Linked DNA regions of Struthio camelus. The protein of the gene in region 1 purifies or fractionates together with the protein of each later gene. This does not show direct contact. Links are inferred from orthologs where the notes say so. Each region holds a gene or a part of one and is shown on either strand. Other genes may lie near its edges.

Region 1 (6,954 bases):
CAACAGAAGAGCTTCTGTGGCCCAGCCCTCACCTTCCCTAGACCTATGTTAAAAGAACTTATACGAAACTAGAAACCGTATGGCCACCTGCTGTGAAAGACTGATAATAGGCAGGACTACTTGACTTCAAACACACACTGTTCCATTACTTGTGAAATATGATTACATCTGCTCTTTATCTTTCATCTGGTTACTCAGTGATAATTGACTGCTCAAGGCTGGCACTCAATTTTAATTATCCCCCCAGTGAAAACACAGCGACAGGCTCTGCAATTGCTCTCATATCTGCACACAGCATCCGTAACGCAGTATCCTTCCACAAAGAGTAAATCCTTTTTTTTCGCCATAAATTAGCTGTACAAATTACTAAGGTATATTTCTCCAAAGAAAAACTTTGTTAACAGAGATAAAGATGCCTACAGATCAAAATGAATGTTTTAAATCTGCAATATATTAGAATAGCTTAGATTCAAAGTCCTCTAACAAATGGCTGCCCTGTTGCCTTCTCTAGTGGCACAGGTAAATTTCCATTTCCCTGTTTAGCACAATTCATTTCAGAGAACTAAGCATCTAGTAACTTCCTTAGTACTGTGTCAACAAAGTGGCTACACAGAAGCTGAAATAAGCATCAACATGTCATCTCACTACCATCCAGAATTGCTAATACACTAATAGATATGTAAGGAGCTCCACTTAGTGGCAAGAGAAGACATTTTCAACAACAGTGTCTAGCATGGGCGGAAGACATCTCTGAAATGTAAATATGTATACTAAACACTCTCTACTTAATTCAATCTCTGCGTGACTCATTTTAATCAAAGCACTAGAATCGTGACCTTTCACTAGGATAGCTTTATTCATGTTCAGTAACAATTTCTGAGAAAATTCAATCACTGGCTGTGGAAAGATGTTGTTTAATCAAGCAGACACTCTGAATTATAAATGATAAGTGAAAGCGAGTTTTGCCCAGGTGCTTTATAATCTATGACTGACATACTTGTTATTCTGTTCAGTAATGGGGATTAATCTGTATAATTACAAGATCCTGATTACTTCCTGAATGAAGTTGGGGTTGATGAATATTTACTTTAGATAACTCCCCAAGACAGTTATTTGGATAATAAATAGATAAATAAACATGAAACTTTGAATAAAAATTTTTTTGCAATTTTTTTTTTTTTTGCTTTGTAACACTATTCGATATATAATCCCCTTGGCTGAAAAAAATCAAAAACCCTCAATATTTTTATTTCCTGCTTGCTAGGCTTTCTTTCATTAGTAAGTAACTCCTTCTCCTACCTTTGCTTCTTTTTCTCTATTCTTTTTTGAAAAACTGAATGACTGTTTCACAGTTCCCAGCTTCTCTAACCATCTCCTTAGTAGAAGTAGTCTCGCTTGGGTGTACAGAATTAGTGCATCTCTAAATTAAAGATTTTCAAACTGAGGGGAATAAGCACATCTAAATAGGGATTTTACTAGGTAGCTAAGAGGAAGGCAATGGTGGGGGTGAAGCCAAAGCGAATATAGCTAAGGCCAAAGGCTGTCAGGCTCCGTCAGAGGAAAATGACCGCTCCAAGCACAAGCAGAGAAAGCACAGCTGATAGGCATGACTAAATTAGGATATTTTTCCTCAGCAAGAGCCTCCAACAGTGCTGGATTGGTTCAGCATTTCCTCTTGTTCCTGCTCAGAGCATATTCTGCCTTTTCCCTTCTCACTTTGCTCCTGTTCCTGCTTGAAACGCTTCCTCCTGGACACATTCTCTCATTCCAGTTGCAGTGGCACCATGGCAGTATGTTTCTCCTTCCTCAAATCCAAACACGATCCGTGGTAGTATTTTCCCCTCCTCATGCTCAGCTTGAGAAATGTGGTATAAAAAATTCTGTATTGGAATTGGGATAGAGATACAGAATGTACCCTGGAAGACAGGAAGGAAAAAGTGCGAGACCGCTGCTGAATAAACTCGCTTACTAAAGTATGCCATGCAAGGTATAACCTGAGTTAGGCCTAGGGTAAACTCTGGAGATTTTTAATTATTATGCTACGGGTATTATTAGGTCTAGGTATTAAAGTCTTGATTTAAGAAAACATGTAAATACCTTTCTTTTCACTATTATTTCCATATGTCCTTAATCATGTTTCCCAGAGATAATAAAGGTGCTTCCCACAACTGTACCTTTAAAAGTAATATCCTTCTATATCACTATTAAATCTGGACTCTAAAGGTTAAGAGACAAGGAAATTCCCATACCTGAGATCTTTAAGGTATAGATCTTGTCCAGCTATGTGGCCATGTTTCACGTTTTTGATAGTTTTCCTTATGTTGATGTCTCTCCCACTTTAACCATATTGATAATTTATTTTTTGCTTATTTAAGCTCCCTGTGTTTTAGTAGTTTTGTCCACTTGCTGGTCTAAACAGCTAAACAATGTCAATATCATATCTAATAGCAGCTGCACAGCACTCTGAAGTTTGTATACAACTCTCTAGTTTTTTGATTACATGAAAATTTGAAATCCTTAGAAGGAAATGAAACTATAAAATGCAAGCTGTATTTTTACTGTAGTAGGAATGGAAATATCTTCAGTGTGGAAGGCAAAAGCCAGTTACTTTCTGGAAGCCACTATCTGGTACAGTATAGAGCATCCAGTGGTTGGAAAGAAGGCAAAAGAGTGTGGTTGGGACCTATAGGGAAGCACAAGGCTGTGGTTTACCTGGGAATCAATCAAGTACCTAATGCTGTAATTAGGTACTGTAAATACAGGCACCATGTGGGATCAGTGCTTATGTGATCATCTACGTGTTTATACTAAGTGCATGGACCAACTGATTTATAACTTTTATAAAACTGAGCAGTAGTTGATAGCATACAATCAATATACAGGTTTCTATCCGATAAAACAAAATTTCCTCAGAATGAAACAGCAGTTAACAGCATGGTGCCTAAGTTCTGCCTAAGTCCTGCATTAGGTGTCAAAAATCCCTGTTTAGGGATTTGGCTTTAGTGACACCCATCATGTTCCCTACTAGAATGTTCACGTTCCTGCAGCGTATGGAAAACTTCACACATAGTATTAACTAATTTTCTGTTTTTAGGATTTTAAGAATGTAGTCATAGGTTTGTTGGGTCTAGTAAGATTTTCAGTTCAGATTGGATATTATTGGTTTCACATCTCAATTGTTTATCTCCTTTTTTGATTTGCATCTGCCTTCATCGAACTGCAAACATTTTTGCCTTATCTGTCTCTTACAAGTATCTCTCTACCTGGATATCATACTGTTGCTTTGTGTAGGACAAAAAACACACTCCAATTTTACAGAAGACTAAATTAATCCAAGCAACAAAATTATTAAAAAGAAACTGCCCTAAGCACATGTCAGGATCCTCAATACTGAGTTTTAAGTAGGTAAGTGTTTTCTTAATGTTCTTTTGTATCTTTACTGACAGTTGGCTAACCCCTTCACTGAAAAATTTATATAGTAAGTTACCAGAACAGTGTTTTTTAAAATATAAATCCAAGCAGAATAGCTAACTAGGAGACATACTTCTACATTTATATTAGCCTTTGAAAAACCTAATTAAATGAAATTTAGCTACTCAAAATTTTAATATTCAAGAGCCCTGTAAGCTTTTTGCTTACAGTAAATGAAGTAAAAAAAAAGTAAGTAAATAAAGTAAGTTAAAAAGTACATTTAAATATGCTGCTCTAGGCAGAATGTGGCTTATTAGCAATTCCTTGTGAGAACTCAGGAAAGTTGAAACATCAGGAGGTCAGAAAGCAAAATGCAGTGCCTATCCTGAGCTGAAACATCAGGAGGTCAGAAAATGAAACACGCTCCCTATCCTTTAAAGAGAAACAGCAGAAGACTGGAGTTATGTCAGCTTCACCTACCTGCTGACAATTTAAACGTTACTCCCAGTTTTAACACTTAAAAAGGGAGATGAATGACAGCCTATGCGCTCCTGTCAAGAAGGGGTACAGTGCCGTACTAGTCTAAGTTTTCAGTCTGTTGACAGAGTGTTTTCAGATAAGGCTGGCAGGCTCCTTCAGCTTCAGGTAACATCTTCAGACGCTTCTTGGGGAAACAATCCCATCAGCGTGGCCGCCTTGCATTTTATGCAAGGCCAGACGGGCGCTGCGGGGTATTCTGGGCTCCCCATTTTCCGCGTCTCCCCACCTCTTCCTCTGCACGCAAGGCCTACGCGGCCCTGCAGCCGGCCGTGCTGGGATCGAGACCAACCGCAAAACACTGCGTTTCTTTTTGGCAGCGTTGATTTGCTGCTGCTGCAGGAGCCCGAGCGGAGCGGAGGAGCACCAGCGGCGGCACAGAGGAGTAACTGTAAGGGGATAAAGGCCGCAGGCAGCCCCCCTCCCCTCAGGGCGGGCTCGCCGCGCCTGCGCAACGGACCGCCGCCCGCCCCCCGCACTGCCGCTTCCGGCTCCGCACCCGCCCGCCGACGTAGTTTCCGGCCTGAAGCGTTTCCGCTGCGTCATTTCCCCCGCCGCCCCGGTCGCCGTTTCCTGCCCGGCCGGAGGGGGCTCGTGTCCCTGCGCGCGCGCGCCCCGCCCCCACCCACCTTTCCAGCCGCCCGCGCCCCCAACCGCCGCTCCGCGCCCCCAACCGCCGCCGCCGCCGCAGCCATGGCGATGAGGCAGACCCCGCTGACGTGCTCGGGGCACACGCGGCCCGTGGTGGACCTGGCCTTCAGCGGCATCACCCCTTACGGCTACTTCCTCATCAGCGCCTGCAAGGGTGAGGCCCGGCGGGGGCGAGGGTGGGAGCGGGGGCGGCGGGGAGCGCCGCCAGGGGCGGCGGCGGCCCCTTTGTTCATCCTCGGCGGCGGGCAGGTGAGGTGGGGGTGGTCCCTCGCCCCTGGAAGGGGTGGGTGTGTGTGTTGGTGGTGGTGGGGGGGCGCTACTTAGGGAAGCGGGAGCGCGGGCAGGAGGCCGCCTTAGGTGAGCCGAGCGGCCGGTATTAGCGGCGGATGGTCGGGCTGGGGTGCCCGGGTCACCTAGCGAGACGCTGGCGGTCTCACGATAATACCCGGTTTCAGCGTTATCGAGTGAGAAAGAGCCTTGACAGCTGGCAGTGGCGTTGCCAGTTTAACCTGTGCGCTTTGAGAGTTTATTCGGTTCGGGTCGAAACTGTAAAAATTAAAAAAAAAAAAAAAAGAAAAAAAAAAGTGAAACTTCTTACAAAATTTTGTTTCCGAACTAGCCTGTTTTTACCTTCTGCACACGTGTATTGTACATCTTAAATTGAAGTTTCTTTTTTTAAATCACGGTGGCTGTCAGGGTGGATGTAGAATGGTGATGCCACTTTCCTTTAGCATGAGAACTTTCCTCTGCTCATTATGAGAATAGTATTTTGACTTCATACATGTGAATATTAATCTATGTATGTATTCATGATCTCCCTCCCAGCGTTGGAGTGCTTCCTAGTCAGATTTATTTCTTCTCCTGGGTGCAACTTTTTTTTATAGCCTCCCAGAAAAAAATAACCATAAGAAAGATTTTCTAATTCCATTTCATTTTCTCTCTATATTTTGAACATATAAACATAAGACTCCTTTTTGGGCAATGCTAGTCTGAAAATTTTTTTCTAAAAACAAAAGAGCTCTTCTGCCTGTAGAGGAAAACTGGAGTAAAACCAAAGCTAAATGCTCCTTTCTCCTTCTTTATCCCTTTTCTTCCTTGAAAACCCAAAGAAGTTTTATATTTACTTTGCAATAGTATTTTAAGGTCTGTATAGAATTCTAGATGTTCATGGTAGGTGCGGCTGCATATCTAAGCTCTTTAGCTAAACTCTTTTTCAAAAAATAGCATCATAAAAATACATGCTATTTCCCTGAAGGGAGATGTCTGGTGGCAATTTCTTTTTTATTCCATGTTGGTGTAAAGGAGTCTTCTTAAAGGTAGTATCGTTTTGTTTGATAACATTATCTGAATATTGGTTTTGTTTCTGTGAAGATGGTAAGCCTATGCTACGTCAGGGCGACACAGGAGACTGGATTGGAACGTTTCTAGGTCATAAAGGTGCTGTTTGGGGTGCTACTTTGAACAAGGATGCCACTAAAGCAGCTACAGCAGCAGCTGATTTTACAGCGTAAGTGATTATCTGCTTTTGAAGTCTCACTCTGTTTTGATTTTTCAGTCAATGATATTTTTAGTGACATAGTTGTTATAAGTTATTGATATATCTGTTCAGTAAATTATTAAGCTCGTTTATGAATAGCTAAATTAAGATCTAGAACTCTAGACTGTTGAAAGTATAGCTACAGTTAATTTTTTTTGGATAACTTTGATTGCTTCTTGATCACAACACTTAATTACCATAGTAGTCTGCCGGAATAACGTTTTATTTCCAGCTCTAATCTTTAGCATGGTAGAGTGCTAAAATCAGAGTTGAAAGAGTGATTTTTGTTTTGCTCCTCCTAGTTATCACTTTTTATTACTTGTTTTCTGTTGCTTATAGCTGGGGCAAATAAGCTCAGTGATACCAACGTTTTCATAGCATCGTAGAATTCATAATAGCCACCATTTCAAGGTTTAAGAATATATCAAGAATTCTAGAAAACTATTGCAGAAATTTATTTATTTATTTTCTTTACTGTCTGTAGTGTGTATTAACGTTTGGTAATTCGAATCCTGTTAGTAGAGGGCACTTTATATGAAGTCACAGAGGACAGCTGCACTTGTTTATCTGTAAAACTGAAATAATAATAATTCTGCATTATCTTGAAGAGGGGAAATTAAAATAGCAGGATAGTGCAAAAAAAACATTAATAAAAGCATATAAAGTATTCTTACTGGCTAACTGGGTTATTACTTATCAGAATGTAGTACTTAGGACAAAGTTGTTTACAAGCTGATCTGACTTCCAGGTTGATTTGTCTCAGTGCTACAAAATTTAAATGTTTTCTCTTGTCATTTAGCAAAGTATGGGATGCTGTG
Region 2 (7,431 bases), on another chromosome or scaffold:
CCCTAACATAACCAGTCTTCTTAGTCACTTCTGTGTTTGGTAACGTGTCTTAGGCTATATGCTTCTCCTTCCCTGCTTTTAGCATAAATTAAAGCAGTAACCTACTACTGGCAGTGTTAATGGCAAAAGCAAAACTCCTGAGCCTGACTTAACACAGGAGTTTTTGATATTACCACTCTTTAATGAGTTACAGTCAACACCATTTTCTTTAAATCCATTCATATCTGATTTCAAATGAGGTTGAATGCTGTATGTGTAGGAAACAAGCTTTGAGGCTAATGGACTCTAGAAGCTAGAAAGAAAGATTATGTTTGAGAGGTTTAATAGCTGCAGAGCAAAACTGTCATTACAGCAATCTGCTTAATTGCAGACTAAGAACTTACAACACTAATATATCCACAAACCTCTTAGCAGTAGAATAAGGAGCTTGTTAGCTGCAGGGACCAAACAGCTGCGCAGCGAGGTGGCGTATTGCTGGGCTGCCCAATTAATACCTCTGAGATACCTCTGTCGGATGTGTTTCACAGACTATAAATTAAAAGGAAAAAGGTTTCATATGACTTAAGGTTTAACTGACCTTCTGTTAATTAAGATCCTCCTGTATTTTGTTTTTGAGGCACTGATAAGGTAAATCAGGCACTGCTTATAAATGATATGAATTGAATAATTCTAGATATTTTATAAACCAGTGACTTCAACAAATTATTTTCTTTTGCCTTTTTATGATTTAGTAGCATCACAGATCTGTGCTAAACTTCCTGATTTGTGTGCTCGTAGAAAAGGCATGATAATGAACACCTTAGTCCCTTCTGTCCTGACTTGAGTAAAACTGATCAGCAAAATCAAGCACCACCTGAAATTTTTATTTTTGAAAATGACGTATTCTGTTAGTTTGGTAAATGACACATTTGGTATTTTTCTCTTGCCGAGTTCCCTGATGAACATAATTTGTAAATATCATGATACACTGACTAGTAGTTAAAAAAGCACATAAAATTTCACTTATTATCACGGAGAGAAAACTGTGATAAGAATTCTACAAATGCAGCTTTGCAATATTTGTACTTCCTCTTGCACTAGGACTAACTGTGCATATTTATCGCTGAAAGATAGTTTCATTATATTACTGTTCAGATGTTTTCAGAATTCTTTGCTTTATTAGCCTAAATATCTCTTACATTGAAACACAAATAGAGCTTTTACTGATCATCATTAATAATATTTCCTACCTTACGGCCATAATCTTTCACTTTAAAAGCTAAGAGAGATTTTATTTATTAGTGCCTGTGTTCTTAAGTAAATCAGCATATAAAACAAGGAATTTCATATCCTTGATCTTAATTGAAGACTAAAAATTTATGAGAAAATTTTATGTTTTGTATAATTATCTATCTCATCATTTGTCCCTTTGCAAAATTGGTTATACTTTAATGATCCATGTAGTTTCTTAGTAGGTGTTTTTCTTGCACTACAGAGTTTTGTTTGAACCCTCCATGCAGTCTGCAGTGTTTTGCTTTCCATCTTCTAGAAAGCAATCATAAAACCCACTCAAAAACTGACAATAATTATTACAAGAAATAAAGCTAGCACTAAGCAAACCTCAATTCTTTCATCTCCCTCCCTGTGGGAGCTGCATATTTTATATAATGCCTCTAAATGCCATATTCCAGTTCAGAAATTAGTAATGAACCTGTGTTTAAACTGCAGATATTCCCTGTAAAATAGCCCGCTCTACCTAATCAAAAAAGTAAATATTTTTTTAAATAGACTCAGTCTTTTTTAATGATCTAAACAGATCTCATAAGGCCAGATAATTTGGATTTTCTATGTTTTTTTGCATTGTGTTCTATGCATTAGCAAATGATGAAATTTTTTGCGCCTTTCTATAACCAGAATGGGGGAAATTCAATGAATTATGACATAAATAAGGCGAGGTGATATGACTGCTTCTTGCTTGTTCTTCTTAATATCTTTCCACTGATTACAACGTTGTTTCCATTCTCAGGAAGCACCTGGAGAACAAAGATGGGCTAAAGTAGACAAGAAGTGGTCTGAAGGATTCCCTTGCAAGACAATGCTGCAGCACAAACACTTACTGTACCTGGTTAAAGTATCATAAATACACAAAGGTGAGGAGTTGCTTTCTATCAGACTTGAAAAATTTGTTCAGTGAAATCAATCTTTTTCATGTTATTTTGGCAGAAAAAGGCCAAGCAGTTACCGTCGTTTTGAAAAATATGAAATTGCAGAAGAGCTATTTTCTTCTTGAATAAAATATCATTTTACACAAGGGCATATCTTGGAGGCCGTTTGCTGTGTCAGATTTCCTTACGTTGAAAGGGTGTTAAATTATCCTCTCAATTTGGGAATGAGCTTTTTCAGTCTGTAGGAAAACTGAACTGGGGTAAGCAATGAATTTGGGAAGTCCAATTGTTAAGGCCAGCACTAGGGGAGCAGGAAACTCCAAGTACATTAATCGTAAGCAGAATGTTGGGAGCTCCTTTTTTCCTAATTAAAGGCTCAAGCTGATGAGAAGCTAGTAATGGCAATGTCTGAGGTTGGAACCGAGCTGAGCACAACTTGCAGGGTGCCATGGTGAGGATCTGAGTTCTGTAGCATAATGTCAGTTTTGCCTCAGATCTGCTGTAAGCCAGTGTCTTAAGAGACACCCAAGCACAGCCTTCACTATTTTGTCCTTTGGATTGAAACTTTTTCATTGTTCCATTTTCGCAAGGAGTATGCTATGTGAATATCTAAAACACGAGCTAGCCTCATCTGCCTAACTAGCATATTTAAGGATGAATGTAACCAGGTATGTTCATAAGTTCTCCTGATTTTCTGTGGATCGGCATTCGACTGTTTGCAGATACAGGGGGAAAAAGCTGACGACTTAAATCTTCTCAGGCTGTCATTTGTATTTCATTTTTTTTCTTCATCCAACTGCTCTGTCTTATATAGCAAAGAAGACAGATTCACTATCAAACAGATTATCAAACATAATCTACTACGCCACACAGAAGGCAATGCTAAGCACCCCTCACGTGACCCTCATAAAGACAGAGTCCTCCAGTCCTGCATGGAGCAGAAGTACGGCAGGTGAGGCAAGGCATGATTCCCAGAAGAGCCCCGAGAAGCTCTTCGAGGACCTTTGCAGTTGCTGTTTTTGCCCTGAGTTTACCCTGGCTCCCAAGATCACAGATATGCACCCAGGGATCGGGATAAGGGATGGCAGAACTGTAGGTGTCTCTTCAATAGGGATCTTCTGTTCTGAAAGAATGGTGATGCCTGGTAAAAGTATTTAGTTTGTGCTGGCACTTTTCACTGCTTGCAAGAGACTTGAAACCATCTTGGCTGGTGAGCTGTCACCTGCGAGTTACTTTATTCTTTCTTTGTCTGGCAGCCAAACATCGTTCAGGATGCTATCTTACTGTCTTACTGATGCTAGAATATCATTTCACTTGAGGATTAGGCCTTTACGTATTTCTATACCTGAATAACTAAGAATGTGTTCACTTGGTATTGCCAACTTCAATATTTAATTATGGCATGAATCTGTATCAAATCCAGATGTTTGGTCTAATACTAACTGTCGCTAAGGATATTTAAAGTAAAATAGTATTTTGCTCAGCAAAAAAAAAAAATGTCACTAGAGGCTGTTCATATACGATGCTGATGGTTGCTAGGAGAGAAGGTGGAAAAGAATGAATTAATAAATATTTACCTCATTTTGAACCGTTATATTAACAGGATCCTTATGCAGATGAGAGAATGTAAGAGAAATGAGACTTTTTATAAAGGTTGTGTCAGCTAAACAACCGCAGATAAAACAGCCGGTAAATCAGCGTGACAAGGAGGCGAAAGGCAGCGCCGGGGAGGACGGTGGCAGCCGCCCTGGGCGCTGCGGACTGGGAAGCCGCAGTCCGGTGGAGGCCAGGCCTGAACTCCTGGGGCGGCGCGCGAAGCTTGCGAAAACTTGCTGAAAATGCGTCAAAAAGGGTGACTTGCAGGTAACACGTGGAAAAAAAAAAAAAAAAACACCTGTGGGCGACATGTCACCTGCCCTACGACTGGAGGGCCACGGCGCAAGGAAGCCCAGCAACAAAAGCAGTCCCGAAGCGCAGGCGGGCCCCGCAGGCCTCTGGCTGAGGCCCTGGTAAAGGAGGCAGGGGGCTGCGGGGACCCCGGGGCGGGTGGGCCACCCGGCCGCGGCAGGGGGCCAGAGCGCCCGTCCTCTGGCCCTGCCACACGCCCGAAACCCAAAAAGGTGCGGGGGAGGGGGGGGAATGTGTGAAGGTAACCGTGGGGCCTGGGGGGCGCCGGCCTCCCCCACGCCAGGATCCTCGCTGTGTCGCACAGGCCGCCGCGGGGGAGAGGGGGGGGGAATGCCCCAGGCCCCGCCCCTCGCCCCGCCCCTCGCGCTCCTCGGCTGCTGTTGTTGTTCGGGCGCCCGGCAGCTGCCGGCGGGGCGGGGCGGGGCGGGGCTGTCGGGAGCGGCCAATCAGGCGGAGCCCCTGTGTCGGTTGCACGAGCGGCCGCGGCCAGGCGGGGAGGTGCAGGCGGTGCGCGCGCTTCTCTCCGTTTCTGTCGCGGGGGGCGGGGCGGGGCGGGAGTCGCGAGGCGGAATCCTGGCGCGCGGGTGCGCGCGCGCGCGCGCCCTCGCTCTGCGGGTTCGGGACCGGACCATGGCGTTAACGGCCACTCGGCGGCCCTGGGCCCTGCGGTGCCTGGTGGCCGCGCTGCTCTTCCCCGCGGCGGCCGGTGAGTGCATGTGTGCGCGCGGGGAGGCCGAGGAGGGGGGAAGCGCGGGAGGTGGCGCCGGCGGGGCGGAGAGCGGCGGTGGTCTGCGGGTCCCCGTCGGTTCCTTTCAACAATATGGCGGAGGGGCCGGTTGGGGCGGAGTCGCCCCCTCTGCACCCCCCCCCCCCACCCCGCCCGGTGTCCGAGCCGGGCAGAGCCCGGGGACGGCGCGTCCCTTTGTTGGCCGAGGGCAGCGGCGGCTCCGAGGGAGGGCGGGGCCGCGGCTCGGGGCAGACGTGATGCGGCGGGGCGAGGAGAGGCGGCGGCGGTTCGCGCTGAGGGGGCGGCGAGGGACGGACGAGGCACCCGCCGCGGCCTCGGGAGAGCAGCCTCTGCCCCGCGCCGGCGCCTGCCTTGCCCCGCGGAGAGCAGCGCCCCGAGCGGCGTCTCCCCGGGACAGCCTGCCCCCTCACCCCCCACCCCGGCCGGCTTCCGCGCTGGCTCCGCTCCCTGTGGCGGACCCCGGCCGCCCCTTCCCCCCCAGGGGGCGAGCCGCTGTGGCCCGCCAAGGTAGCGCGGAGCGCACCCCTCCCTCCCTTGAGGTCACTGCTGTTTTGTGGCTGGAGCGGAGCAGACTGTACAAACTAACCGCTTGGGGATGGTGTCTCCTTCGGAAAACTTCTGTCTGCCTGTGGCTCCCTCAGCGGGCGAGGGGAAAGCTGCTGGGCCTGGCGGGCTCCTCGCGGCGTGTTAGCGGGCGCTCGCAGGCGGTACGGCGGGGAGGGCGCCGAGAGAGCAGTGCGGGCAGCTAGCTACGTGTTGAACGCTCCGCGCAGGGCAGGGGAAAGGCTCTCCCACGTCCCGGGCTGGATGCTTTAGGGAAGCTAACGCGCCTTGTGGCGTGCTGCCGCTGTGCCAGTTCTGAGAACTGGTGACGATTTGGGTAGGTGATCTCGGTGTTGTAGTTGAACAGCTGACCGCTGTGCTCCGAGAGGCCCAGAACACGGGGAAATGGTCTTAAGTGAGTATCGTGCATAAAATACTTATGGCCCTCTGGCCACTCCACACCTATTGCTCTCTTGTAAGAGAGAGATGATATCAGAGCTGTACCGTTGGATAGGTAACGCATGAAACGGAGGTTGTTAATGACACTCAGGAATGAAAAACTAAAGTGATTTTTTTAAAAAAAAGCATATTTTGTTCTTCACTTAGCAGTAGGGTCATATGTGGTAATGAGACTTAAATGATACATAATGCCTTACTTTAACTGATTTAGGTTTCAACATCTTCTGTATATATTAGATGATGCCAATAGATGTACAAAAGCTGTTTTTTATAGCAAGTGCCACTCTTACAAATTCTTCTATAGGTGGCATGCCTATTGCTCTGGGTTTTAAAGAGGAGAAGGAGATGTACTCTGACTTTTTTCAACTATAGCTTTAAGACATGCCTCAATCTGGTTCTTACTATGCTGCTTACGTTTCACTTTAAGTTAGTAATTGTGCTGCAAAGAAAATGTTACCTAAGGCAAAATGTAACTTGCAATACTAAAATACCATATTAATCGCCCATATCCTTATTGAAGAAGATGGAGAATTTTTGAAATGGAAGCAGTGAAGTAAGCTTAAATTACTGTGTATACACTTGAAAAGATGCATCAGCCTTCAATAATTTAAAGCTTTCAATATTAAATTTAGATATTGAGGGAAACTTTACCTTGATTTGAGCTCTGAGCCTTTCTTTTCCTGTTTAATGCCTTTGAACAATCGAGAATTTTCATTTAATTTCAGTTATGAAAGCAGTGTCTAAGAGTTTTATTTGGGAACAAGACCAGATTTCCAAGGCTAAAATAATTTTCCATAGAGAAGCTAAAGGATGGAAGTGGTGTGTGGGTGTGGTGCTCTTCCCCCCCCCCCCCCCGCTGCCTTCTTAATATCCCCATTATTATAGTCTGGGATCCTTAGTCCTTAGCTCATAGACAAGTTCTCTGAAATTGGGAATGGGATTATTTTCCCTGAACGTTGTGGTCCAAGTTGACAAAGTAGTGGTGCAACACATCCTTTGTGTACTGTTACTTAGTGTTCTTATCGTGGGTTGACAGAAGTTGGGCGTTTTCTGATAATTTCTGATGCTAGCATTAGTGCAGGAATGAATCCTCTCATGATATCACTAATGTGGAGGTCAGAAATGTCGCAGATCACAGCAGCTAGTTGAACTACTGTCAGCCAGCCCTAACTTTTAAGGCAGAGTGTGATTTTTGCGCGTGTGTGTGTAGGGGTTGGGGGGTTAACTGTTGTGAACCATAAATAGTCTTTCATCTTGCCAAAATTCTGGGAGGTCACCCTCTGGAAATCCTATATGTTCACACAATTCATTCTTATTTATGATAATGAGTGAACCTGATTTGTATGCTTAAGTCAATTTAAAAGTACAGAGTTCTTCATTTTACTTTTTTCACAAAGATGGTGAAATTACAACAAAGGGGAAGATCTAGGTTTCTAATTCTAACTTTTTTTTTGTTTTTCTAAAACATACTCTTCCATGAAAAGCACCAGAAACAAATTTTTAACATTGTATTTTGCTGTAGAGGCATGAGCACAATTCTGAGTTGCAAAAATAGATAGTGCCATTCGGCACCTACACTACAAAGAACATAACATTACTTTTTCTAAGCTAGGATCGTTCCAAATGTTT
Region 3 (7,736 bases), on another chromosome or scaffold:
TGCCTTCATCCATGTCAGGTGTAGTGACATCAGCTGAGATGTGCATCCTGATGACTGCTGCCTGCTTTATATTTCAGTGTCTAAAAATAATATAATAACATTAGAAATTTGATTATCCCTTACAGCTGAAGTTAGGAGTATGTTAAAATATATGTTTATCTGTGATTAGAAATAGCAAGCTTGTTCGACCTCATCAGATCTCTTATTCTGTATTCTTAATTAGAACGGGAACCATCCTAAGTCTTTATACTGATAACGTTCATTGCCGCTTTGTGTTGTTCAGGTCTTCAGAAGTATATATTTTTTTGTTCCTTCTCTCCTAGTAATGTAAAAATGTCTTGTTTCCAGTGCTTATTTACAGGAATTGCTCTGTCTATCAAGATTTGTCATTTGAACAAAATTTCTAACGTTGTTCTCTGGCACTGCTTTTGCTTCATTGTAATAGCATAGGAACATGCAGCTGAAAAGACCCCAGAGGAACCTAGTACATTCTCTAACTCCAAGATGGAATGAATATACATAGATTATTTCAATATCTAGCCAGAATCTTTTGTATTTCAAATTAAGTCCATCCCTTGTACCCAACAGGTGGAGAACAGTAACAACCTTTTAATATCTTTTAAAGAGTTACATTCTTACTGAAACTGTCTCTCTCTTTAGAAAAAAAAAAATCATTCTTTCTTCCTGGATTAAATTTTCTAAGCCTTTCTTGTTCCTCCTGCTCTCTCCTAGATGCTTTAATTTGTTTACATCTTTTCTAAATAATGGAATTCAAAACTGGATCTACTGCCCAGATGATGCACTTCCCTTCCAAAGGCAGAGCAGAGTAATTACTGACATGTATTTAAAAGGAACCTACCCTATTACGTTTATCTGATATTCACAGAATCACAGAATCGTTTAGGTTGGAAGGGACCTCTGGAGATCATCTAGTCCAACCTCCCTGCTCAAGCAGGGTCACCTAGAGCATATTGCCCAGGATCACATCCAGACGGGTTTTGAAAATCTCCAGGGAAGGAGACTCCACTACCTCTCTGGGCAACCTGTTCCAATGCTCAGTCACCCTCACAGTGAAGAATTTTTTTCTCAGGTTCAGATGGAACTTCCTGTGGTTCAGTTTCTGCCCATTGCCTCTTGTCCTGTTGCTGGGCACCACGGAGAAGAGGCTGGCCTCATCCTCTTGGCACTCCCCCTTCAGATACTTATTCCCCAAAAGTGCCTTATGATAGCCTCATATTTGTATGTTACGCTAAAATGACAGTTCAGAAGGCTTCCAAATCCACTTCTCGCTATTTCCTTCTTGCCAGCTGTCAACATTTTTTTTTATTTATACATTCAAGTTCCTACCTGAATTTATATTTTGAACTCAAATGCTCTTCAAACAGGAAGTAATGCTACACTATATGCAGGGAATTTTCAGGGGTTCTGAGGTTCAACTCTTAAAATGCATCTTCTGAAGGATTAGAGCTGTATCTAGATAGATTCTGTTAAAACTGCCCCAGGAGGCTTTGGGTTTGTTTATTTTTTTCCTTGCTTGGCTTCCTTTTGTTTGCCTTCCTTCTGAAATGAGGTTGTTTACTTCATGTTTGTATTTAATTATGAAATATAATTTGCTTTTATATTGTGTATTTGCTTTTATAAGTTCTGAGTCAGGCTTTTCTTATTTCTAAAGCTATATGTATACTGATTGCATCACATGAACCGGAATCTGTTGTCTTAGTCGTTGTCACACTTGCAACAATTTCTCTATTACTGTGTAACAATGCCTTATATCTTGCTGACTGATCCAATTCTGTTAGACTTTTCATTGATGTTTCATGACAGATGAAGAAAAGGTTCATGTTCTCATCTTTAAATAATGTACAACTTGGAAAGGATTGCAAGTGTTTTGAAGGAGAAGATTACAATTCAAAATAGGAAACTAGTCCAAAAATAAAGAAAATTAAAAGTAATCGATTTTTAATAGGTTTACTTGGATAATATACTACTGCTTTTGCTTGAACATATTGAATACATTGCTTTTATGTCTTTCAGGAAATTGAAGAACAAATAGACAGAATATATGAGATGGGAGAAGTGATGAGAAAAGCTATTCAAGTCGATGATCATCAGTTCTTTAAAGTTCAAGAGAAACTAGCTCAGTTGGAGGTAAGAAGTGGTATAATTGCTAACAGTAGATCTAGATTTTTTGAATTTCTAGACTTATCCTAAAATATTTTTTTCTTTGTCCATTGATAGAAAAGAGAATCAGAAAGAGATGCTTGGGTTGTCTATGTATATGCCAAGGATTTATAACATTCAAAAATGGGGGGGTGGGAATAAGGAAAATTATCTGCTTCTTCTAAGTAGTTGATGTTCGTTTCTTATTATATATAAAACCAGAAGTAAAAGATATGCTTTAAATGATTTGGGTCCCCTCTTGCTAGTGCTGCATTACTCCTAAATTTACAATATCAGTGTTTTATTTAGTTGTCAATGAGTGTAGCTATTAAAGATGATAGTCCTTTAATTGTGAATGAGGTCATTTTTATTTCAGCAAAAATATTGATTTTGCAGCTTGAAAACAAAGAGCTCCGTGAACTTTTGTCAATCAGTAAAGAATCTGTTGACGTGAGGAAAGAAGATCTGCCTGACAGTGAAGCTCAGGTCACAAAATAACCCTATTTCCAAATTTTAACTTCTGAGAATACGAGGAATCCACCCTACAAGGAAGGATGGTTTGTGTTTTGTTCTTTCAGGTGTTTCCTTGTATGTCTGTTTTATCTTCAGAAATGTGCAGCCTGTTTTCTCTGCATTTTTCTGAAAGTAGACGCTCTGATGGCAAAGGCTTGCTTTGCTGCTCGGTCTTAGTAATTGCAGCATACAAATGCTTAACAATGAAGTGTTTATGATGACCTACTCCCTTGTGATAGTTTATTTTCTCTCATAAATGTTGTTTTGGATCAGCTTCAGTTAAGAATGCCAACTATGCAGACAGCACTTAAATTATTTTATTTGACAAAAACAATAAGAGATTATTTGAAAATTATATTGTACATGGCAGGCACACATTTTGTTTTCCTTTGAATACCTAACACAAACAGCATTCGGTTGGGTTAACATTCTTACTGGGAAACAGACAACTTTCTAGAAGCAGATCAAGAGAAGAGCAGGTAATCAATTGTGCACTTCCCTGAATAACTTCATATAAGGGGCATACTTTGCCTTGATTTAGAGGGGAAAATCAGAATGAATAGCCCTTTCTCACACTTCCACGTGTCAATGTAGCGTGTCTGCCTAGTGTTCTTGTTTTCTTTCTTTCTTTCTTTTTTAATGGGTAGACCTATTCTGGCTCTACCTGTGCTGCAAGGTGTGTGGATTTTGGATAGCTCTGATCTGAGGCACTGCTCTCAAGCCAATAGAGTAAGCCCTGCGGAGAACACAGCACTTCCAGATCAAAGCTGTCTGGCTTCCCACTACTTTGGGCTTCAGGAAGGGTGAGCTCAGGTCTGGCTCAAAAACATTAAGCCAAAACCAACCAAATAGACCTGTTTTTAATGTTATATCACAGGTAAGTCTAGTGACAGATGTTGTGTAGTTATTGTAAAATCCTGTATTGAGTTAAATTAGAGTTGCAATGTCTAAGAATTTGTCAATATTGTGGTATTTTTAATGACTTTTTTTAATAAAAGATTTGTCTGTCTGTCTTATTAGTGATCAAAGGATAATCCTTCAGGAACAGCAAGGCCCTCATTCCCAGCATTAGTTTAAATTGTTATGCCATTTTTTCCAAGTGAGAATTTTATAGATGCAGAAGGTGATTTAGGTCTTGTGCCTAAGACACAAAGAGAATTAAGAGACATTTCTTTGCCACCATCTGGAACACCCAGAGAGATCGTCTGGTAGAGATGAGGGTTTTCTGTACAGGACTATCCTTATATAAAATCATTTTCTACTTTAAATTATTTCTTAATAGGGAATAAAAATAAGCATGGACAATTATTTTCTCAAGCGTGTTCAGTTTTATGAATCCTGCTGATAATTCAGTCTGTTCTGCCTGTGCCGGAAGCCTTTGTCACCCACTCTGCTTTTTGCCATAGTCCTTGAATGTATGTACTGCAATGAAACGCTTTTGGTCATTGTATTTCTTTTCAGTTAACATAATCTGAGCTGTCTGTGCCAGTGCATTTACACTTTCTTCTGATAGGCCAAATGCTGTGCAAACCTAAAAATGGGAAACAGAAGCAGCTGATTAGAGAGTTCATTATAAATTAGCAGGAGAAAGGAGGAGGAGGTTTAAATGTGTTAATTTGTTACTCTACTCCCCTCTGTAACTATGGAATCGGTGACGGTAGATATCCGAGGGTGTGTGACCCTGGAGGGGGTTTTCAGAAGAACCTCCTCCCCTCGTGCTGAAAGTTGGACACTTCACTGTAGAGAACGCGGCTGCTTCTGTCCTTGAAATCCAAGTACAAAGCACCTCCCGACGTTGCCTCGTCGCGCCGGGGCGTGGGATGAGGTGGAAATGCGCGGCCGCCCCTCCCTGTGGCCCGGGGCGGCGGCGAGAAGCGGGGCGCGCGCGCGGCCATTGTGCGGCCGCGGGGGAGGCGCGCGCGGCGGAGGCAGTAACGGCTCCGCGCGCGCGGCGGCGGCGGCGCCCGTTGGGCGCGCGGCGCTCGGCCGCACAGCGCGGGGGGGGCACTGGCACGCGCCTGTCGCTCCATTGGCCAACGGCCAGGCGCGCATGCGCGCTGAGCACCCCGCGGCGGCACCTCGGCGCACGCGCGGCTCCACCCCGAGGCTCTCGCGAGAGGCCGGGATTTATTCCTACGTGCTGTGCCGTGCTGCTCATGGCGGCGCTGGAGCGGGGGCGCTGAGCTGTTGGGGTGAGTACGGCTCGCGGCGGGTGGCGAGGACGCCTGCCGCTGTGGAGACGGTGCCCGCGCACACTAGGGTGTCCTGGGGGTCCTTAGGGGGCGGTAGTAGAGGTAGAGGGAGCCTCCGAATCTGTATCCCCCGTACCTGTTGTCCCAGCGGTCTCGGCGGGGTAAGCTGCCTGTCCACTTTCCCCGGCTGCGCGGGGCGAGGCGGTCGGGTGGCCGGCGGGGCGCCGGCCTGGTAGGCCGCTGCTCCTCGGGAGGGAATACTGGTAGTTGCGAGTCAGTCGGCCGTCGCGGCGTGCGAACTACGTTTCCCGGCGTCCCGCGGGCGGACGCCCCGCCGCAGGGACTCTTGGGAGCTGAAGTCCCGCCTGTCAGTTTAGGCGGGGCTGGGGCGGCGCCGGAACTCGCTTTCCCGGCGTGCCGCGCGGTCCGCTCGGCCGCGGGGCTTGCTGGGGCCTGCAGGCCGAGAGGCGCCGGCCTTGCTGCCGGTCGTGTCGAGGGGACTACGGGTCCCGGCAGGCGCCGTGCGAGGACGGGGTGCGGGGGCTCGCGGGGCCGGAGCTGGGCGGTGGCGGAGGCGGCGGGGGGGGGGGGGTAGGTGGACCGCGGCTCCCGGCAGGCCGCGCGCGCAGGCCCGCCCTCGCGGGGACGAGGCCCCCGTCCCTTTGTGTGCGGGGGCGCGGCCGCCATCGCCCCCCTTTGTGTGTGGGGAGGGCGACGGGCGGCGCCTCGCTCCTCGGCGCCTGCCCTTCCCCTGGGCCGGGAAGCGGCGCAGCGCGGCCCCTTTCCGCTGTCACAGCGCGGCGGCGCGCGGCCTGCGCCGGGCTGGGGTCCTGGCGCCGCCCCTCGGCGCCGCCCGCGCCGCGGCCACCATCTTGCGGCAGCGCAGTGCGCAGGGCCTGCTCCGCTGCCGGCCGGCCGCTCTGGGCGGCTCCGTCGGTTCGGGCCTGTTTCTCTGTTGTCTGGGTGGACAACGAGCGCCAGGCTCTTCCCGACTGCCGACCCCTTCACAGAAAACGCTCCTTTGTTTTTGCTGTTTACATCCATTGCTGATCCTAAATGGATATATGCGTTAGGCAGATGTCTGTCGAAGTCTATAATGATTTTTCTGTAGCTGCGTTTTTTGACCTAGAATTGACATACCTAATTCAGTGAATGTTGACAGCTGACCTCACTGCTGTTATGTTTTGATCGGGGCGTTCAGGAGTTAGTATTCTTTCTGATGTTCAAGAGGCTCCTCTGAAAAATTGTGGAGTAAGTTAATCTCCAGATGTCATCTCGTAGCAGTGTTGTGCATGCTGAAAATACAGTGCTTAATCTTTATTGAACTTGATCTTAATCACTTAGAAGATGGCTAATTCTAGAAACACGTTTTAGTTGTGTAAAATATGTATTCTTACAGTTGCATACCTGTTCTTTTGAAGAAAGCGAGAAACAAAAAAGTGGCTGTAGTTTGGCAGGTTCTCCCAATAGGCTGTGTAGGTGATTTCAAGCAGAAAACATGCTTATGTGACAACCTGTCACTGTTTAATAAAATTCAAGACTTCAAGAAGAGGACTTGTGCACCTTTCTCTCTTCACTGTCTTTGCATTAATCCTTTCAGCTGTAAATATACAAATGCAGAGAGGCCAGCGATACTTGGGGGCTGGGCAGCTGCTCAGGCTGTTTACCATTTGGAGGAGTATTTATAGTAGCTGAATTAAAAAGTAAAGAATTTGAGGCAGATGCACGCTGATTTTACTGGAGTTATACTTGCTTGATACCCCCACCCCCTTTTTTCTTTTTAATGACAGTAGTAGTAAACCAATCATGTGATCAAATCAAACCAAGCTTTTAAGGTGAAAGCTTATGCTTTATTCCATTACCCGATTAAAGCAGCTTTAGGCATCTTTGGGTAGAAGAGATGTCTGGGTTATGTTCTGTGGCTAGCCAAAGGTATATGACATTTTTGAATGTCTAGTATGAATTATGTTACTGTTCCAGTAGAGTTCCGATCATCTTGGACTAATTAGATGAGGCAAATACTTGAATAAAAGGTTCTAAATGTCTCTGTGCTGTTCCTGTGATGCAGTGTGTGCCTGCTTCACTCCTCTTGAACTTCATGGGAGGGGCAGCTCATTTGCTCTACAAAATGCTGTCCAAAACATGATACTGTTCTGAAAGAGATTGTTATAAGGGTTGCCTGTATCTTTCAAGGAGGTATGTGAAAAATCTAGTGGGACATGTATTTTTGTGAGAGCTTTGAGTTTTCTGATTTATGTTTTTTATAATTGAATCTTTCTCTACAAGCATCTCGTACCAGATTTGTTTGGTATGGGGAAGAAGGAAGCAAGCTGAACTCATATGTGATATTTCTGGGAAATGCTGTGTTTAAGTCACCTTTAATGTTTGTTAGACTGATAATTGTTAAGCCTGCTGTGGGTAAAATGAACATTTGATAGACTTGCTTGTTAAGTTGATCCTGTTCTGATTTGATTGTGAAAAGAAGAACGCTTTCATCAAAATTTTTCACTGTGGAAAGTATGGTTTTATTAGGACTATTTTAAGAAATATTATGAAAGTAGTGTTTTCCTTGTTGTTTTCTTCTTTTGTTTTTTGATTTTTTTTTTTTTTTTGGACTATCAATCGTATAGGGAGGTGTGGACTTGTTTTACTGATATGGCTTAATGTTAAGGAAACTGGTGTGAAACAAACTATATGGATGAAAAAGGTTACAGCTCAAAGACAAAAAGCCTCAGCCTTTGGCTTGAAATGGGTTTTCTTGTCAGACCACTACACATCAACAAATGAGATTAATTGAGAAACTGGATGAGGGTGTTCTGTGTGATGACTGAAGGAATATGTTTCACATGGATGAGAAGTCACTGAAAGACT
Region 4 (7,408 bases), on another chromosome or scaffold:
CCATCACGCTCATATCCCAAATTGAGGTCAGCGGCATTGCAAGTGAAACGCGTCTTAAGCTAATACACGTCCCCTTTAGAAAAGGGGATGGTGACTTCTACCAAGATCAAAGCTATCTCTGTCCACATACATATTTACAGCATTTCTTGTGCAAGGCTGTTCCAGCTGCTGACCTGCAGTATAAACAAGTCTCCCTAACGATATTTAAAGCCATTTTAACACAAACAGCATCCCCGCCAATTGACTAGGTTATCCTACAGAGAAAAAGCAGTCCCCCTAATGAACTGATTCACTACACCACAGACAAGCATTTCAGTTTAATAAGGCTTTGCCTGACTTGTCTTTTGTTCTTCCTCCTAGCACAGATTCGAGTTTGGATTAAGTGCAAGATACCAAGGGCGATATGCTTGCTCTCGGAGCACAGGAGAGAAACGCCTGTGGTATATACGCTCAGATTTGAAAACCCAAAAAGGTTTGAGGCAAGAGACATCGTTCCAGAGAGGTTTGGGCTGCACCTTGCTTACAGCAGACGGTAACGCTCCTGGAGCGAGACCTATGCATGGCAGCGAGCTCTGCAGTAGCGCTAGTCTGTTCAACACTTCCACGCAGCCCAGCTGTGACCAAAAAAAGCCATTCTTACACCATTGCCAGGATAACATAAAGCAATACCCCCAACCCACACTGGGCGGATCAACACCAGGCTGACCAACACTACTGATTTAACACACTGCTCTCAGGACAACAACAAAAAAGAAATCACACCGGGGGAAGCATGCAAATACAGATCTTAAGTCGAGATGTGAATTCAAAGTTATCCAGCACACCGGGAAATCCCACCGAGACTCATTTTTGCCCTGAGACACGAAAAAACGGTGCATGGCGTTGCCAGCCGTAGCATAGCATGATACCAGGCTTAGCGTAAAAGGCAGGTAACTCCCGTGGACGCAGGCTTTGGCGTTACCTGAAATCCACTGCTGCCTCCCCAGCTTTCCAGAGCGAAATGCGTTTTTTAGGCTTTTTTTGAGGGGGGGGGATTTTTTTTTGGTTTGTTTTTCGGTAGGTCTGTCCCCCCCACCCAAGGGTCCCCAGAGGGGCCCCCCGGGAGCCGGCCTCTCCTCAGCACACAACGAGGCCGAGGCGAGGAGGCAGCTCTACCCTCCGGCCGCCGCGCAGCTACCGGAGACCGGGAACCGGGGCGGGGGGGGGGACGACGACGACGACATGGGGGCCCCAGCGGGAAGCGACCCCCCCACAGGGCCCCCAACCGCCGTCCCCGCCGCCCGGGGGAGCCCGGCCCGGCCCGGGGGCCGCTCCTCACCTGCCGGCGGCCGCCCCCCCGCCGCCGCTCAGGGCCGCGGGCGCCGGGGCCGCCCCGTCGCCCGGGTGACGGCCCGCGCCGGCGCCGCCATCTTCCCTCGCCTCAGCGGCCGCGTCCCCGCCGCTCCGGCCGCGGCAGCCAGCCCCCACTGCGCACGCGCCGGCCAGCCCCGCGTCACATGAGCGCGGTGGGGGCGGGGCTGTGTGTCGTCAGGTGGGGCCAGCGCGCCATGATGGGAAGGTCAAGCCCTCCCCCCGTCCCCTAAGCCTGACGCCATGTTGGGAAGGTCTTGCGTGGTAGTGTTGGGCGGTGCGTTTGGTGTCCCCTCCCTCCCCCCCCCCAACTACCACCGCCGCCATGCTGAGAGGGGCGGGCGGGCGCCATGTTGGGGAGGTCGGCGGTGGCGGGAAGGTGGCAGGGCGGCTCCTTCTCCTTCGCGGCCTCCCCGCAGGCCTCGTCGCGGCCTGCCCTCGTCGGTCGGCCGGCCTGCCCGCAGCCGGCCGGGCCCCTCACAGCCCCGCTTCGCCCCCCCTCCCCCGCGGCGGCGACGGGCCGGCCGAGCTGCAGCGGTAACTCCGCAGGCCGTGGAGCGCCGGGCCCGCTTCCGACGGGGAGCCGCGGCCCGTCACCTCAGCCGCCGGGCAGCCGGGCCCGAGGGGCCCCGATCCCGGGAGCGGCGCCGAGGGGCTTTACGTTTCGGGGCGTCGCTGCTCGTCCGGGGGAAGGGGGCTAACGAGCGCCTCAGGGGCCAGAAACAGGCTACGGAGGAGCTGGGGGTGCCGGGACGGGGATTTGGCACGGCATAGGCGAAATTAGCGGGATGAGGGCCCGTCCGGTGCCCCGCCGGTTCTCTCCGAGGGAGGTTTGCGGGTAGAAATACCGAAACCCGCCCAGGGGACGCACGTGAGGTTGCCTGCCCATGCTGCTCGCCCCAGCGGCCCTCTGGGATGGGAAGGCTCAGGGCGAGCGGTGAGGATTTGCCTGCTTTTCGCTGGAGTTTTTAAGGAAGCCGGTCGCCATCTGCTGGAAAGCTGCGACTCCTGGCTTCAGTGTTGGGGTCGCATGCAGAAAATTCAGTTTCTCTAACTGCCTGCCTGAATGTTTTGCTTTTTCAGGATGCCAGAAGGAGTCGTACGGGAGGCGTTGAATTCTGGATTTGCTCCCAGTGGATCTCGCCCCAGCAGTCTTTCGCTTTTCAAACCTCAGGCTAATGTGTCGGCTTGACAGCTATCCCAGATACAAAAGAGAGAAACCCAGTAAGTGAGCTTTTCTTTTGGGAGATCTATTCCGAAGGGTCGAGCAGAAGTTATCCCTCCTCTCTCTTAGGGAGAGGTAAGAGGAAGGTAGTTTCAAACACCAAAAAGCTTAGCTGAAAAGTGATACGAATGAAGATGATAGAAAGACACACGGAGAGGCCCTCAAATTTCTGCCAAATGCCCAGATAAACTCACGCCTGCCTGCCTCTAGGGCCAGCCTGTCTGAAACCTGAGTTGAGTTCATCCTGGCTTTGCTGGGATTTGGAGGCACCTGGGCAGGAATGACCTTTCCCCCCCACGCCCTGCCCTGCCTTTCATTTCCCCCCCCCCCCCATTGCAGGGTGTTCTGAATGCTGCAGAGTTGCGAGTTAATGTCTCACAGTTTTAAGCCGCGAGGGTTAAACGGTTTCGGTTAACGTCCTGGCAGAGCTGAGGCACCTCAGATAATGCCTCCACTTCTGGATCAAGCCTCGGTGCCAACCTTGCTTCCGCACCCAGCTCCGAGAGAGCTTGTTATCCTGAAAGCAGTAACCCCAGCACAGAGGGAACGCGGCTCTGAACAAAGTTTATCTTCAGTTACTTGTTATTTTGCTTGGGATGGTACGTTTCACCCGCATGCAGGTGGTGCGGTGGCGATTTATGCCCCGTTGAGTCTCACTGGGGTTTACACAACAGGCTGTAAGAGGTGTCTAAGTGCTGCTCTGGGTATTTAGGCGTGAAACGCTATTGCTTGAGCTTACTGCCCCGTTTCTTTTTCCTGAGGTTGATGTGCAGCAGGGCCAGTCCCTAAAGTTATCTTGTTGCTGACAATCGTGCCGATGCAGCCGGAAGATAGCAGCATTTTCTGAGTTATTATCCCTTCACTTAGGACGTGTTCAGAATGCAAGCATTTTCCTTTCAGTCTTGGCCCTGAATTTCTCAGTTAAGGCCAAAGCTGGCCAGATCACAGGCACGTGTCGCATGGAGGCAGCACGTGGGTGCCCCAGGACACTTGTGTCGCATGGAGGCAGCACGTGGGTGTCCCAGGACATGCGTGTCACATGCGGGCAGCACATGGATGTCCTAGGACTCGTGTATCACGTGCGGGCAGCACGTGGGTGCCCCAGGACATGTGTGTCACATGGAGGCAGCACGTGGGTACCTCAGGACATTTGTGTCGCATGCTGGCAGCACATGGGTGTCCTGGGACACGTGTCACATGCTGGCAGCACGTGGGTGTCCCGGGACACGCGTGTCGCATGGAGGCAGCAAATGGGTGTCCCAGGACACGTGTCCCATGTAGTCAGCACGTGGGTGTCCCAGGACACGTGTGACATGTGGGCAGCACATGGGTGTCCCAGGACACGTGTCACATGTAGTCAGCACGTGGGTGTCCTGAGACATGGGTGCCCCATGTCAGCAGCATGTGGGTGTCCCAGGACACGTGTGTCGCATGTAGTCAGCATGTGGGTGTCCCAGGACATGTGTGTCACATGTGGGCAGCACATGGGTGTCCCAGGACACGTGTCACATGTAGTCAGCATGTGGGTGTCCTGAGACACGTGTCCCATGTCAGCAGCACGTGGGTGTCCCAGGACACGTGTGTCGCATGTAGGCAGCTCGTGGGTGTCCTGAGACACGCGTGTCACATGTAGGCAGCACGTGCGTGTCCCAGGACACGCGTGTCGCATGCGGGCAGCACGTTGGTGCCCCAGGACCCGCGTGTCCCGGGTCCGCCCTCCCGGCAGGGGGCGAGCGCGCTGCCTCCCGCGCCCCTCACCGCCGCACGTGGCCGCCCGCAGCGGCCCAGCGCGCGTGCGCGCGCCACCCTCCCACCGTCCCCGCCCTGCGCGCTGCGCATGCGCGCGGAGGGCGCGCTGGTAGGCGGCGGCGGCGCAGGCGCCGGGGGCCGCGCGCATGCGCGGGGCGCGGGCTGGCGGCGGCGGCGGCGGAGGAGAATTAAAATGGAAGATGAGGAGGTCGCTGAGAGCTGGGAGGAGGCGGCCGACAGCGGGGTAAGGGCGGCCGGCGGGCGCTGCGGGGCGGCGGTGGCGGCGGCGGGGAGCGGCGGCGGCGGCGGGGCGCCGTCTGAGGAGGGCCCGGGCGGCGGCGCCAGCCCCTGAGCGCCTGCTAGGCCTCTTAAAGGGGCCGCGGCCTCCGTCCGCGTGGGGCCGCTCCTCCCACGCGCGTCCCCCCGGCGCCCACCCGCGCTGCGAGGCGGCCCCTCGGCTCTGGGCGGCTGCCCGCACCCCCCCCCCCCACCCCTCCGCCGCGGGCTCGCTGCGGAGGGCCTGGGGCCGAGGCGCAGGCGCGCTGCCGGCCCCACGCGAGCCCGGCGAGGGGCAGGCGCCGGGGGGGCCCCCCCCGCGGCCGGTGCGTGGGCTGCGTTTCGTGGCCTACAGCTGGGAGTCCGCGAGGCAGAAGCCCTTTCTCTGTGTCGCTATGCCTGGCTGTGGTCCCTCCTTAATCTCTTTTTAAGGCAAAACGGGGGTGATTTTCGCGCGGCCAGCTATAGCTTTCAGTTTTCTAGCTGAACTTCCTTTTAATAGCTGGCTTAATAGCTTAAGTTTTCCACCTGTCTGTCGCGCTGAGAGGCTCTGAAGCACGCTTATACGTGTTTCCCATGCGAAATGAAATCCTTATTTTGGCAGCAGCGTAGGTGGATGATCGGCGGGGTATTCACAACTGCACGAGGAAGGGAACTGTGTGAGACGGGTCGCTGTTTTAATAACCTACGTGGGCCCTTTAGTGAGCGGAGGGCAGAAGGACTTTATAACAATTGCTGTGCAAGAAGACCGAATTTGACTCTGGTCAGTGCTGTGCTGCAGGAGATTGGGTTACCGCTTGTGGGAAAGACGTTAGCAAAATAGAGCTCGTAATTCAATGCCCTCCCCCAGCTGCGTGCGAGATGCCAGTCGAAGGCTGGCAGGGTAAGGAAAGCCCTCGCTGCGTACCCTGCCAACGCTGTGATACTGCAGTAATGGGAAGTCTTGCGCAGGGCGGTGGAGTTAATTCCAGCGCTCATTAAAGCGTTCCATGAAGGGACATAACTTGTGTCTCGGGAGTTGATGATAGCTGTGGCCTTGAGTAATAGCTTAAAACTGTAGGGCTGTTCAAATCTGAGGCATCAGTTGTCTTTTCCCTTTTGTCCTTTCAGCTTGCACCTTTTGATGGTCTTTTAAAACACTTGTGGGGAAATATCTCGGTTGTCTAGCCTTTGTAAAGTCCTTTCCCAGCACGTCCGAACTGCTGAGCCTTTGCATTCATAAATTCAGCAGTGTTTGTGCTGCTTAGGGGAGAACAGAGAGATGTCTTGAGGCGCTGACACCATGCTTGCAGCTGCTTTTACAGTTGTCCAGGCTTTGCATGTCTGTAAAAGCAGTGGGAACAAAAAACCTGCTTGTCTCTAGTCGGCATTACTGTTACGTAAGAGGAGACATGGAACCTGCTTTCAGGTTAGATCTGGCAACCATCACCAGGAGACTTCAGGAAGGTCATTCTCAAGCAGTGACTTGCAGGAAAGAGACCCTCTGCTGCTGCTCGTGGCCACAGGAAGTTACAAGCTAACTGGAACGAACAAGGAGAGGAGAACCTGATCTTGTCCGATGTTTTTCTTGAACCAGATTGATGCCAGTGCACGTTGGATCTCTGAGCTACTACAGGAATCAAAGCTGCTGGGGTAGACTGTTTCAGAAAAGAGAAAGAGGAAGAAAGTACAGGAAGAGGCTTAGATGCAGAGCAGGCAGCATGGCTGCCTTGCTTGCTTGCTAGTTGAAACATTATTTCAAGCACCCTTGCTTTTCCTTGTGAGAAAACCTGCTGTAGATGCAGGGAAGTGCTTTAACGAGACCGATCCGCTGGAAGCGTGAGAGGAAAAACTATGTGCAGAAAAAGCTTATGAACTGGCCTGATCCTGTGATCACAATAGTTACGGTCTTAAGGAGTGTTCTTCGTTTTCTTCCACCCGTATCTTGTTAGCCTTGGGTTACGAATTGCCCTCTGGGGTGGCACAGGACAAATCCCAAGTTAAAGGCATGAGACATGACAACATTCCCATTCAGTATTGAATAGGAATATCCAATGAAGCATTAAACATAACAAACATTAAGCAGCAGCTTTAAATGCTTATTCGTGTTTGAATACTTCACGCAGTCAGGAATGTAAACCTGAAGAGTTGTTATTTTATAGCCCCTTCAAGCACATACACGTAATACTTTCCAGTTGCATCTTGGTGAAGTACATGCTATTGACTCTTCAGCTGATACTTGTCACTTATGTTGCATGGAGTTGGGCCCACAAAAGATTATAATGTCGACCTTTAATCACTGAGGAAATAGACGTGTAATGAAACAGGTCTGTGGAGGGCTTCTGAATGGTGGGATTTTGAGATATTTTCCCTGTTTCTTGGCATGTAATTTTTTTTTATATGCCGTCCAAAGGGCGTTCCTTAGAACAGAAAGGATGCCAAGAATTTGGGTGCTGATCTTTCCCTTTTTGGTGGCTATTTTGCTGTTAGGTTACTAACTTTCGCTCTAGATCTTGGTATAGCGCTTTCAGAAGGTAGCCTTGGCAAGAGGCGGTTCTGGGCTGACTAGAGATACCGTGGCCTCCTTGTGCTAACATCGCTTCGTTTAGCTATTGCAGATCCTTCCCTTTTGAAACGGGCAATACTAAGATCTTACCAGGTAGAGGGAAAGCCAGTGAGCTTTGAAGGGGAAAGCCCAGACAAAACGGACGCAGATCTTTGGCTTTGGACTTGATCAGTGAAGTAGCTGTAATACAGCCACTTAAACACTTTTTTTTTTTCTTTTATGCAGCTCCTCTTTGTCTTTTAGTTTTCCGAGTCATCAGAATT

Evidence for each region.
Region 2: the proteins of STRAP (region 1) and TGFBR1 purify together in Homo sapiens (affinity purification with western blotting; 3 studies listed by BioGRID and IntAct, with this or other methods). This does not show direct contact. The link is inferred for Struthio camelus from reciprocal best matches to the Homo sapiens genes STRAP and TGFBR1.
Region 3: the proteins of STRAP (region 1) and CSDE1 purify together in Homo sapiens (affinity purification with mass spectrometry; 3 studies listed by BioGRID and IntAct, counting the BioPlex papers as one, with this or other methods). This does not show direct contact. The link is inferred for Struthio camelus from reciprocal best matches to the Homo sapiens genes STRAP and CSDE1.
Region 4: the proteins of STRAP (region 1) and SZRD1 purify together in Homo sapiens (co-immunoprecipitation; 3 studies listed by BioGRID and IntAct, counting the BioPlex papers as one, with this or other methods). This does not show direct contact. The link is inferred for Struthio camelus from reciprocal best matches to the Homo sapiens genes STRAP and SZRD1.

The regions. Positions count from the first base shown.
Region 1 is NC_090942.1:71,984,860-71,991,813, forward strand, and holds the start of STRAP (serine-threonine kinase receptor-associated protein), read left to right. Parts: upstream 1-3,939; 5' UTR 3,940-3,954; coding exon 3,955-4,753; intron 4,754-5,970; coding exon 5,971-6,106; intron 6,107-6,935; coding exon 6,936-6,954. UniProt on the Homo sapiens protein: The SMN complex catalyzes the assembly of small nuclear ribonucleoproteins (snRNPs), the building blocks of the spliceosome, and thereby plays an important role in the splicing of cellular pre-mRNAs.
Region 2 is NC_090943.1:78,044,843-78,052,273, reverse strand, and holds the start of TGFBR1 (TGF-beta receptor type-1), read left to right. Parts: upstream 1-4,421; 5' UTR 4,422-4,682; coding exon 4,683-4,758; intron 4,759-5,386; exon of another isoform or gene 5,387-5,919; intron 5,920-7,431. UniProt on the Homo sapiens protein: Transmembrane serine/threonine kinase forming with the TGF-beta type II serine/threonine kinase receptor, TGFBR2, the non-promiscuous receptor for the TGF-beta cytokines TGFB1, TGFB2 and TGFB3.
Region 3 is NC_090965.1:10,109,193-10,116,928, reverse strand, and holds the start of CSDE1 (cold shock domain-containing protein E1), read left to right. Parts: upstream 1-4,721; 5' UTR 4,722-4,865; intron 4,866-5,001; exon of another isoform or gene 5,002-5,394; intron 5,395-7,736. UniProt on the Homo sapiens protein: RNA-binding protein involved in translationally coupled mRNA turnover.
Region 4 is NC_090962.1:13,572,313-13,579,720, reverse strand, and holds the start of SZRD1 (SUZ RNA-binding domain-containing), read left to right. Parts: upstream 1-4,402; 5' UTR 4,403-4,412; coding exon 4,413-4,568; intron 4,569-7,408.